Arabidopsis thaliana: one gene and its partner. The protein of the gene in region 1 purifies or fractionates together with the protein of each later gene. This does not show direct contact. Each region holds a gene or a part of one and is shown in the gene's direction. Other genes may lie near its edges.

Region 1 (4,875 bases):
ATCCGCTGCATACTTTCCAACGCCATGCAGTTGAGTGACATGAGTCCAGCTCTCTTGAAGATACTCTAGAGACAACCGTTGAATCATTTTGGTTCTCTTCTTTTGTAATCCAAGAGGTTTTATTAGATTCTCTATCTCCTCTTCTTTAACTTCTGTTGCAGTCTTTGCATCAGTACACAATCCAAACAAGTCTGATATCACTCCCCGCGTCTGCAATCACCTTTTAAAATAAATTTACAAAGCCTTTTCTTCTACCATATTCAACAAGACCAAGCAATTCAAATCATTGATAATCAATTACTTATCAAACCAAAAACTGCAGCTACTTCTTCTGCAACAGTTAAAATTGAAAGATTCAAGCGCACAGAGGTCTAACTTCTTACTTCCTAACAAATTTTGGACTTCCCTCAAGAATGATTTTCGAGTACTAATTCCTGTAACTAACTGAGAAAATATGCAACAAGCAATGGCAACACTAAACACATCCACTTAAACTAATTGGTCTCAAATGCTAATTACTTATGTTCACCAAAGATATGGAATAAAAAGAGATAGAAATGAGGAAAAACCTGTGCACCAGATGTTTTGTTGAGAAGCATACATATGACCAGCACCCGCCATGGATCATGCCAATGATCTTCTTGAAGCAGATTACATGGAGATCGTGGAGGCACCCATGTGTTATCCGGCGTTTTTCGCAGGTATACATCATCGGTCTTTTGAGAAAGCGAGAGTACAGGGCTCACAATAGGAGTTTTCCTCACATTTCTTGATTTCTCCTTTTGTGATTCATTGACTTGGATTCCATCAGCATGGAAATATCTTGAAACTTTCACAACCTTAAAATAGTTACGCAAACCTTTAGGAGCTTGGTTTGGCTGTTCTGAAACAGTTGATTCCTGGAAATATGGCGAAACTCTTCTGACTTTAACTTGACGTTTGCTGCTTCCTTTCCGATAATTTCTTCCACTTTGAGAAGAAGAAACAATGTCAGAATCACACTGTGAAATAGTTGATGCCTGGAAGTATGGAGAAACTCGTGGGACTTTAGCTTGAACTTTGCTGCATCCTTCTTTGGAACAAACACTATCAGAATCACACCCTTCTTTGGACTGTTGTGAAACAGTAGATCCCTGAAAGTATGGAGAAACTCTTCTTACTTCAACATGAAATTCACTGCATTCTTGCCTTTCAATATGTGAATCAGAAACACTATCATCATCATCATCAGCAATTTGAGGAGAAACAAGATTACTCGTTGTTATACTTCCAAAGTCATCCCTTTTCCTCCTCCTCACACCTTTATAAACAAACCCAGAGAACAAATCATCCAAGCTATTGCTATTATCCTTCTCTAGGGAACAACCATCATCATGACATTGAAGAACCAAATTTGTGGAACCATCATCAACTAAACCCAAATCACGATTTTTTTCATCATCCTCCTTAAATAAAGCAAACGAGCGATTCTCATCACTTACCTCGATAAAATCGGAGTCGGGTCTCCGACGAGTCATCATCACTGAACTATCATCGTCCCTACCAAGTCGCCGATCTTTCCTTCGCTTATACTTATAAATTATGGGAGGAACCATCTCAATTTATACACAGAGAATCTCCTCAAACTCTTAAGGAACTGAAACAGAGAATCCAATCTCTTCTTCGCCGATACTTTTGTGAGTTTGTCGATAAATTATATCCCTTTTTGCCGTCAGTGTGTAAATTTAGACTCTTTTTGTGTCAATTACGTTTTTGTTTTACGAATTAAATTGTGGCAAAAATCTAAAAAATTATGGTTTTTTTTTTTTTAATTATAAAAAGCTTTTGAGAAAGAAAAAAAATTAGGGTTGGGAAACGCAGTCTTCATAGCTTCTCTCGCTTGTGTTTTCCTCGTTAAGACCAATCTTGCATTGCGGTTTCGTTACCAAAGGTAAATCCTTATCATGTTTTAGACTCGGAATAGAAATTACTACTTATCATGTTTTAGGTAACAGAGTCCAATCTTTGTTGTTGATGATCATACACATTCTATTCTTGATTTTAGTATTTGGTTTGTTTTCTGAATGCTTTTCTTGGCAGTAAATCATGGCTGATGAAAGTAATGAGAACAAGAAAGAAGTGAAGGATGATGAGCAAGAAGTAAGTTTGGCTTTTGACATTTTGTTTTTGTCTACAAGGACTCCTTGATTAATTCCCTAAATTAAGACAATAGATTTTGTTTCCTTTTTCGTTTGGTTTGATTGTTGTTGTTGCCCTTTTACATCAGCTATCCTTTGACCCAACCAAAAATGAAAACCAAGTAAACAGTTGTACTTCAGGATCTTGTATTAAGCATGCATAGTTGGTAGATGATTCTCTTTGGTTACTAGAACGTGCGACTTATATAAATATTGCTTTGGAGCATTCTTTCCTTAAGTCAATGCATACTTCTTCCTGCTTGTTTTTTTTCTTTTTCTGATGGGAATTATATGTACAGATTCTTCGTAGGGTCTTTAATATCCTGCGTGAAAATAGTCCGGAGCTTGTTGGAATTTGGCTTCTTACAATTATATGGCCACCACAAGTTCTTCGTGAAGAGACAGCGAAAGGCACAAAGAAGACAGTCTTTGTCAACTTTATGGACTATTGCAAGACGTATGAAGAAATTACCATATCTCTGCCCCTTCAAACTTTTTTACTTTTACTTTTGGAACCATTGTTACTAGAACGTAGTGAGTTTTCATGTTTGTATTTGGAACTAAAACTTTTTCAGGATGCATCGAAACCCTGATCATGTTATGGCGTTCTTGCTTGCTGAGCTGGGTACTAGGGGTAAACTTGATGATCAGCAAAGGTTGGTTGTTAGGGGGAGATTTACACAGAGGGACTTTGAATCGTTATTACGAGGATATATCCGTAAGTAACATTTCCTCTCAAGATTAGGATTCAACTAAACATCCTTCTGTTGATTTCTTAAAGTGATTTCTCTAATTGCTGTTAATTTCAGTTGACTACGTCATGTGCATTCCTTGCAAGAGCACAGAGGCAATTCTTTCAAAGGAGAATCGTCTCTTCTTTTTGAGATGTGGAAAGGTAAAACTCTACCCAATTAGCTTCTCTTGCCTTGGACAAGTTTTTATTTTTTGCTTTCTGCGTGATTGAATAGGAAAGCTGCTTAAGAAAATTCTCTTCTCTTGATACTTAACAAGCCAATGCCTATCTTTGATGATTGCTGTTTCTTTTACCTAGTCAGGAATTTGCCAACATTAGTGTCTGATATTACGTAGTTAAGAGTGATACAAAACTCATTCGGAGGCTTACTATATTGCATCATCTTGATGTGATGCTGATATCTTTGCCTACGTACTGCATGATAAAAGCTAATTTGGTTGAGCAAGTAAATGAGTAATTACTGTCTGAATACTAGTATTTAAGAAGTATCCAATTTTGTTTTGCTATTCTGCAAATATGAACGTATGGGGTTTGTTTTGACAGTGTGGATCAGGACGACCTGTGGCGCCAATCAAAATCAATTTTGGTCGCAGGTAGCTCAAGTGATTGATATATTGGTAGCTCAAGTGAGTAGAGAGTAGTCGTCTTTTCTTGAGATGTCTAATTACTAAAGAACATGTTTTGGAGTTGTGAGGTCATGCTTTTCTTCTTCTCCTTCTTATTCTGCTAACTTGCTAATGCTTTGACTTGACTTGGATTTTGCCGGCACATTTATTTTTGAGCAATTAGCTTCCCTTTGAATAAACATATGTTTTTCCAATAACTAACCTTCTCTAAATTTTCTTTACACCATATAACATTCATTTAATTCGATAAACAACATTCTTAAAAGAATATGACCCTTTTATTATTTATAATGTAAATTACCATAAACCAAAATCTATATCAAAGTAACTAACACATTAAAATATTAGTGTAAATTTTTTAAATAATTGTTGGTTTCCAAATGAAATTAAAATGTCTATTTTGCTAAACTTATAACAAAAAATAATAGTGCCGGCTTAGTTGGGTTAAGATCCGGTGGAGTCGGGTGGGTAAATTAGTAAATTGGGTAAAGCTGTAAGTAAACCAATGACGTCTTTCCAGAAATTTGGTTCGAATCGGTTAGGCCGGTTAAGGAACAGGTCGGTGTTGTGGCTCGACCTTGTAGCGAAAGGCAAAATCAATCCATTGCGTAAGCAAAAACTTCAAAGTTAAAAACCTTAAAAGCGGCGAGGGCAACCGTAAAAAACTATTCTCCGACACAAGAAACGAATTGTCTCTAAAAAGAAGAAGATGGCGAAAAATAGCTGTTTGGCCAAAATCACTGCCGGAGTTGCCGTTGGCGGCGCTCTTGGCGGCGCAGTAGGTACGCTTTCGATTTCCTTTACATTCTGGAAAAAAAAAACCTAAACCCTAGAATTACAATCTAATCGCCTTTTAAATGTATCCGATTTTGGGAATTTGGGCACGGGTTTTGGTTATGGAGATGATATTAAGACTTGTTTTTGTTGTGTTCAGGTGCTGTCTATGGAACTTACGAGGCGATTAGAGTCAAGGTAAGCTTATTCTGAGTCATCTTGTAAAATGAAAATCTTTCTTGTTGAAAACATATATATACACTCACTCTTGGATATGGCTTGTTATCATTGCTCTTGTGAAACGCTGAAGTTATGATAGCTCTTGTTGTGTTGGTATTTGTGAGTTGGAGAGGATGATCAATTTGATGTTTTAGCGCTTTAAGTTAGATAAGAAAGACATCTAGAGTAGAAATTGCTCTTACGCGTATTGTGAAAACAATCTCAATAGATATCTATGTCAAGATCACTAGTTGATGATCATATGTTCCTTTCATTTTCTTCAGGTTCCGGGGCTTCATAAGGTTAGATTCATTGGGCAAACTAC
Region 2 (4,875 bases), on another chromosome or scaffold:
TTTTATCATACACTAATCATCTAGTGGAGAGGAGTATAAGCCTTTTTTTTGTTTGTCTTATCATTTGGAAGTAACAATTGCTGCTCTACTGAAATTTTTTTCTTTTCAGAATGAAGATGACAATGGTCATTTGGCGTATTGGTTGACAAACACATCGGCACTACTGTTTTTACTTCAAAAAAGTCTTAAACCTGCTGGCGCCGGAGCAACGGCAAGCAAGAAGCCACCCATAACAACTTCCTTGTTTGGAAGAATGGCCTTGGTATTTTAACTTTCTGTGTTAGTAGGGCTTTTTGACGGATCTTTTACTTTGAATCTTAACTATCCTTTCCCTTATTGTTTAACCAGAGCTTCCGCTCATCACCAAACCTTGCTGCTGCGGCTGAAGCTGCTGCTCTTGCGGTGATCCGCCCAGTGGAGGCAAAATACCCGGCTCTGCTTTTCAAGCAACAGCTTGCAGCATATGTGGAGAAAATATTTGGGATGATTAGGGATAACTTGAAGAAAGAGCTCTCAGCTTTAATATCTATGTGCATTCAGGTTTCATTGACTTCTCTCTTTGCAGCTATATATTTTTGTCCTGACTTTACGTTGTTGTATCCTAATGCTGTGACCACTCGCTTGTTGCGTTGCACCTTGATAATAAATGTGTTTTACTATTGTAACAAGTCCTGTTCTGTCAAAACTTTGAACTTCAGGCACCGAGAATTTCAAAAGGAGGGATACAAAGATCTGCTAGATCTCTTGGAAAAGATTCTCCTGCTATTCACTGGCAGAGCATTATTGATGGTCTCAATTCGCTGCTTGCCATATTGAAAGATAATTATGTAAGGAAATAGTAAAAGTTCCATGACATTATTCTGTTTTCAAATCCTCAAATTCTCATATGTTTCATGGTGTACAGGTTCCTTTGGTACTCATCCAGAAGATACACACTCAAACTTTCTCGTTCGTCAATGTGCAACTATTTAACAGGTAAATAATACTTGAGAATTACATCTAATGGTTTCTACACACCTTATCATCGATACTCGTCAAAGTACAAACCTTCCTATGGTTGATATTTCTCAAATTCCTATGGAAGATATAAGCCAAGATCACTAGTGTTTTCTTACTTGGTTTTTTCCTTAACATCTTACAATAGCCTTCTACTGCGTAAAGAGTGTTGTACATTCAGCAATGGAGAATTTGTAAAGTCTGGGCTTGCAGAGCTAGAATTGTGGTGCGGCCAAGTCAATGAAGTAAGTTCCTACCTCACGTTTTCCTTCCGGAAAAAGTTTCTTTCGGCTCATTATATCATTCTTTGATTTTGCAGTATGCTGGGCCATCTTGGGATGAACTGAAACACATCAGACAAGCTGTTGGGTTCCTGGTATGTTTTACTCTTGTTTAATACTAACTTGTGGAACTCTTGTTTCTTGAATCTTCAAAAACGAATACTTCTCCTCTCGTAACTTATCAGGTTATCCACCAGAAGTACAGAGTATCATACGATGATATAGTACATGATCTTTGCCCGGTAAAGCTCCTTCTTAGTTTCTAGAAACACGTTTTTGCCTAGACTCCATACTTAATGGCTTTCTTGTTTCACTTTATTACAGATCCTTAGTGTCCAACAACTTTACCGGATATGCACATTATACTGGGACGACTGCTATAACACCCGAAGTGTGTCTCAAGAGGTAATATCGAGCATGCGTGCGCTCATGACAGAAGAATCCAACGATGCCGACAGCAATTCCTTCTTGTTGGATGATAATTCCAGGTAACTCGAATCATTTCTTAAAGATTAATATCAGTAGTAGAAACTAAAACCGGTTTATTGTTCGCAGCATTCCCTTCTCAATAGACGAGATTTCGAATTCGATGCACGAAAAAGACTTTGCGAGTGTCAAACCGGCCAAAGAGCTACTGGAAAACCCAGAATTCGTATTCTTGCACTAGTGAGAAGCTCGGATTCTAAAAAAGCTCTTCCTCTGTTTCTTTTTAGTCTGAGTGGGGGAGGGGTGCCTTCTTGAACCAAAAGGAAAGAAGATTACAAAAGTGTAAATTTTTACTTCTTGTGGGGTTGTTTCTTTCTTGCAAAACCTCTGTGATTTCTCTCTCACCAATTCATTCATTTATTTATTTGACCCCATTTCAAAGTTTTTTCTCCATTTTAGACCCAAGATTATTATCTGGTTTTTTTTTTTCACGGCTCAAGTTCTACACGATGAAGATCCTTTGTTGTTGTTGTACAGAATTAATCTACTTAATTTGTTATAAACTTGCCCCAACTCTTTTCAGTGATTTTTTTTTAAAAAATTTGGGACTCAATCAAACTCCATTACACCTGGTGATATTGGTTTAAAACCAACGTTTCTGACTTCAACAGCCGAGATTCAAAGACTTCAAAACCTTCCAAAAAAAAACAAATTCATAACTGGTTCGGAAAGATAAATTGACAAACCCGAGAGAGATAGAGGAACACGAACGCTTATAGTCGATCGCAAATAGGCCTTTCACTTGAGGTGTCTGTCTCAAGTTCGAATTCTAAAAGTTTTATGGTTTTTTTTGTTTAACTGTGTTTTATGTTGGGCCAAATTGTTTTTTGCTTTTAGGCATTAAATTTAGTCGGGCCGGCCCTGCACATAAAATTAATATGATGAAATGTTTTGGGTTTGATACTTTGATTCATAGAAAAAGTAAATTAGTCTCTACTGATAGTAATTTAATTAAATACTAGTATTTCATTATTTTGTAAGAAATTTTAGAAAGGGAAAAAAAAAAAAGGTTACGCGAAGGAAACCAAAAACCCTTTAGGGACTTGGATAGAAAAAAAAAAACCATTTTGTGCATCTTCTTCAAGCTGCGCCGCTTTCTCACTCTTTTTTATCTCTCAAATTTGACCTTCTCCGTTGTTCTTTCGCATCGCTCAGGTTCGTTTCGATCTCGAATTACATCTCCTACGGATTCAATATTTGTTCAACCTAATTGTTCCCATTTCTATCGCACGAAGATTAGTTCGGGGAATCTAATCGTAATCATAATGTTTTTTTAGATTGCGAATCGAAATTATTGTGATATTTAGGTAACGGAGCTCAGGTATAGAATCTGTGTGTCGACTTGATTAGGGCAGATGTAGAAAAACCTGAGAAGTAGTCTTTTTCAGATTAACTAGGGTTAGGGTTCTGATTTGATGCTCGGTTTTAAGCAGGAGCAGAAGCTTCAATCTTTGATAATGTCGAGGAACAAGGGTTTGGCTGAGCAAGATCTTAAAAAATTGGATGTAACTGTGCTACATCCTCTGTCTCCTGAGGTCATTTCTCGCCAGGCCACTATTAATATAGGTAACGCTTTTTTGAGTCTTTTATATAAGTTGATGTTGAAGAAACTGGCAGTTCCTATAAGCTAAAGATGATAGTGTTATGTTTCAGGAACCATTGGTCATGTCGCTCATGGAAAGTCCACTGTTGTTAAAGCTATTTCTGGTGTCCAGGTAAAATTTGATTATGCGGTTTTCACAATTGTAATCCTAGAGGCTTTTCTAGCTTGCAGCGTTTGATCAATTGGAGTGGGTGAAGTGATTTCTATGGTTTCCTTATCTTCTCTGTACAGACTGTCCGTTTTAAAAATGAATTGGAGCGTAACATTACCATTAAGCTTGGATATGCAAACGCCAAGATTTACAAATGTGAGGATGAGAAATGCCCTAGACCAATGTGCTACAAGTGAGTCCTTCTTACAACAGTGTTTTTATCTTCTACTTCTACTATAAGGTTTGAGTCAAGGTCTAACAACTTATCTGTTGTATTAGGGCCTACGGAAGTGGAAAGGAAGACACTCCCAATTGTGATGTCCCCGGATTTGAAAACTCCAAGATGAAACTATTGAGGCATGTCTCATTCGTTGATTGCCCGGTATGATGAGTTTTACCGTTATCTTTATTCTTCATTAATTACCATTTTCATTTGATAGTATAAGTGTATAACCATTTCATGTGTCAATGAGCTGTTCGTTTATTGTGTATTATCGATGTTGTTGTGCTCCACCTGCATGATTTTGGGTCTCTCATTTAATTGGGTGAAGGGCTTAAAGAGTGAGGGTTGATGGAGAAGTATTCATTGATGTTTCCATCTTTTGCTTTTCTTATCTCTACTTCATTCTTGTTGAATGTATTCTTGTTCTATTCTTCAGGGTCACGATATTCTCATGGCAACAATGCTTAATGGAGCAGCCATCATGGATGGTGCACTACTTTTAATCGCTGCAAATGAAACTTGTCCACAACCACAAACGTCTGAACATCTTGCTGCCGTTGAGATTATGCAACTTAAGCATATCATCATCCTTCAGAACAAGATTGATCTTATTCAAGAGAATGTTGCCATTAATCAGCACGAGGCAATTCAGAAATTTATAATGGTTAGGTTTTCTTATCTCTTAAGGATCTGTTGTAGCATTCTCATTTCGTCACTTGGTTAAGCTAAGTATTGAAGAACTTGGTTCTAAAATTTCTTTCACATCCTGTTGCAGAACACTGTTGCTGATGCTGCTCCGATCGTCCCTGTCTCAGCACAACTGAAATACAACATTGATGTGGTGTGCGAGTACATTGTCAAGAAGATCCCAATCCCTGAGAGGAATTTTGTGTCACCCCCAAATATGATAGTGATTCGGTCTTTTGATGTCAACAAACCTGGTTATGAGGTTGATGAGATCAAAGGTGGAGTTGCAGGTGGAAGTATCCTACGGGTATCTATTCTCTCTCTCTCCCTTTCTCTTGTTGTGCCTCTTAAGTACATCAAGCTTTATATGGTGTAATCAGTATCTCTTAACTACATGTATATTGTAGGGTGTTTTGAGAGTCAACCAATTAATCGAAATCCGACCTGG

What was found. Proteins that work in one complex are often made in the same cells at the same time.
Region 2: the proteins of AT3G07920 (region 1) and EIF2 GAMMA fractionate together in Arabidopsis thaliana (co-fractionation; one large-scale study listed by BioGRID). This does not show direct contact.

What each region holds. Positions count from the first base shown.
Region 1 is NC_003074.8:2,523,440-2,528,314, reverse strand, and holds AT3G07920 (Translation initiation factor IF2/IF5), read left to right. Parts: upstream 1-2,085; coding exon 2,086-2,139; intron 2,140-2,476; coding exon 2,477-2,634; intron 2,635-2,752; coding exon 2,753-2,895; intron 2,896-2,986; coding exon 2,987-3,072; intron 3,073-3,474; coding exon 3,475-3,528; 3' UTR 3,529-3,895; downstream 3,896-4,875. Other genes in the region: AT3G07930 (DNA glycosylase superfamily protein), read right to left, coding at 1-210, 570-1,595; AT3G07910 (reactive oxygen species modulator-like protein), read left to right, coding at 4,267-4,339, 4,492-4,529, 4,835-4,875.
Region 2 is NC_003070.9:1,094,203-1,099,077, forward strand, and holds the start of EIF2 GAMMA (eukaryotic translation initiation factor 2 gamma subunit), read left to right. Parts: upstream 1-2,679; 5' UTR 2,680-2,918; exon of another isoform or gene 2,919-3,084; intron 3,085-3,196; 5' UTR 3,197-3,220; coding exon 3,221-3,329; intron 3,330-3,416; coding exon 3,417-3,478; intron 3,479-3,597; coding exon 3,598-3,710; intron 3,711-3,796; coding exon 3,797-3,899; intron 3,900-4,176; coding exon 4,177-4,404; intron 4,405-4,515; coding exon 4,516-4,734; intron 4,735-4,834; coding exon 4,835-4,875. Other genes in the region: XIB (myosin XI B), read left to right, coding at 110-262, 349-540, 699-827, 905-975, 1,145-1,241, 1,316-1,372, 1,463-1,519, 1,602-1,765 and 1 more.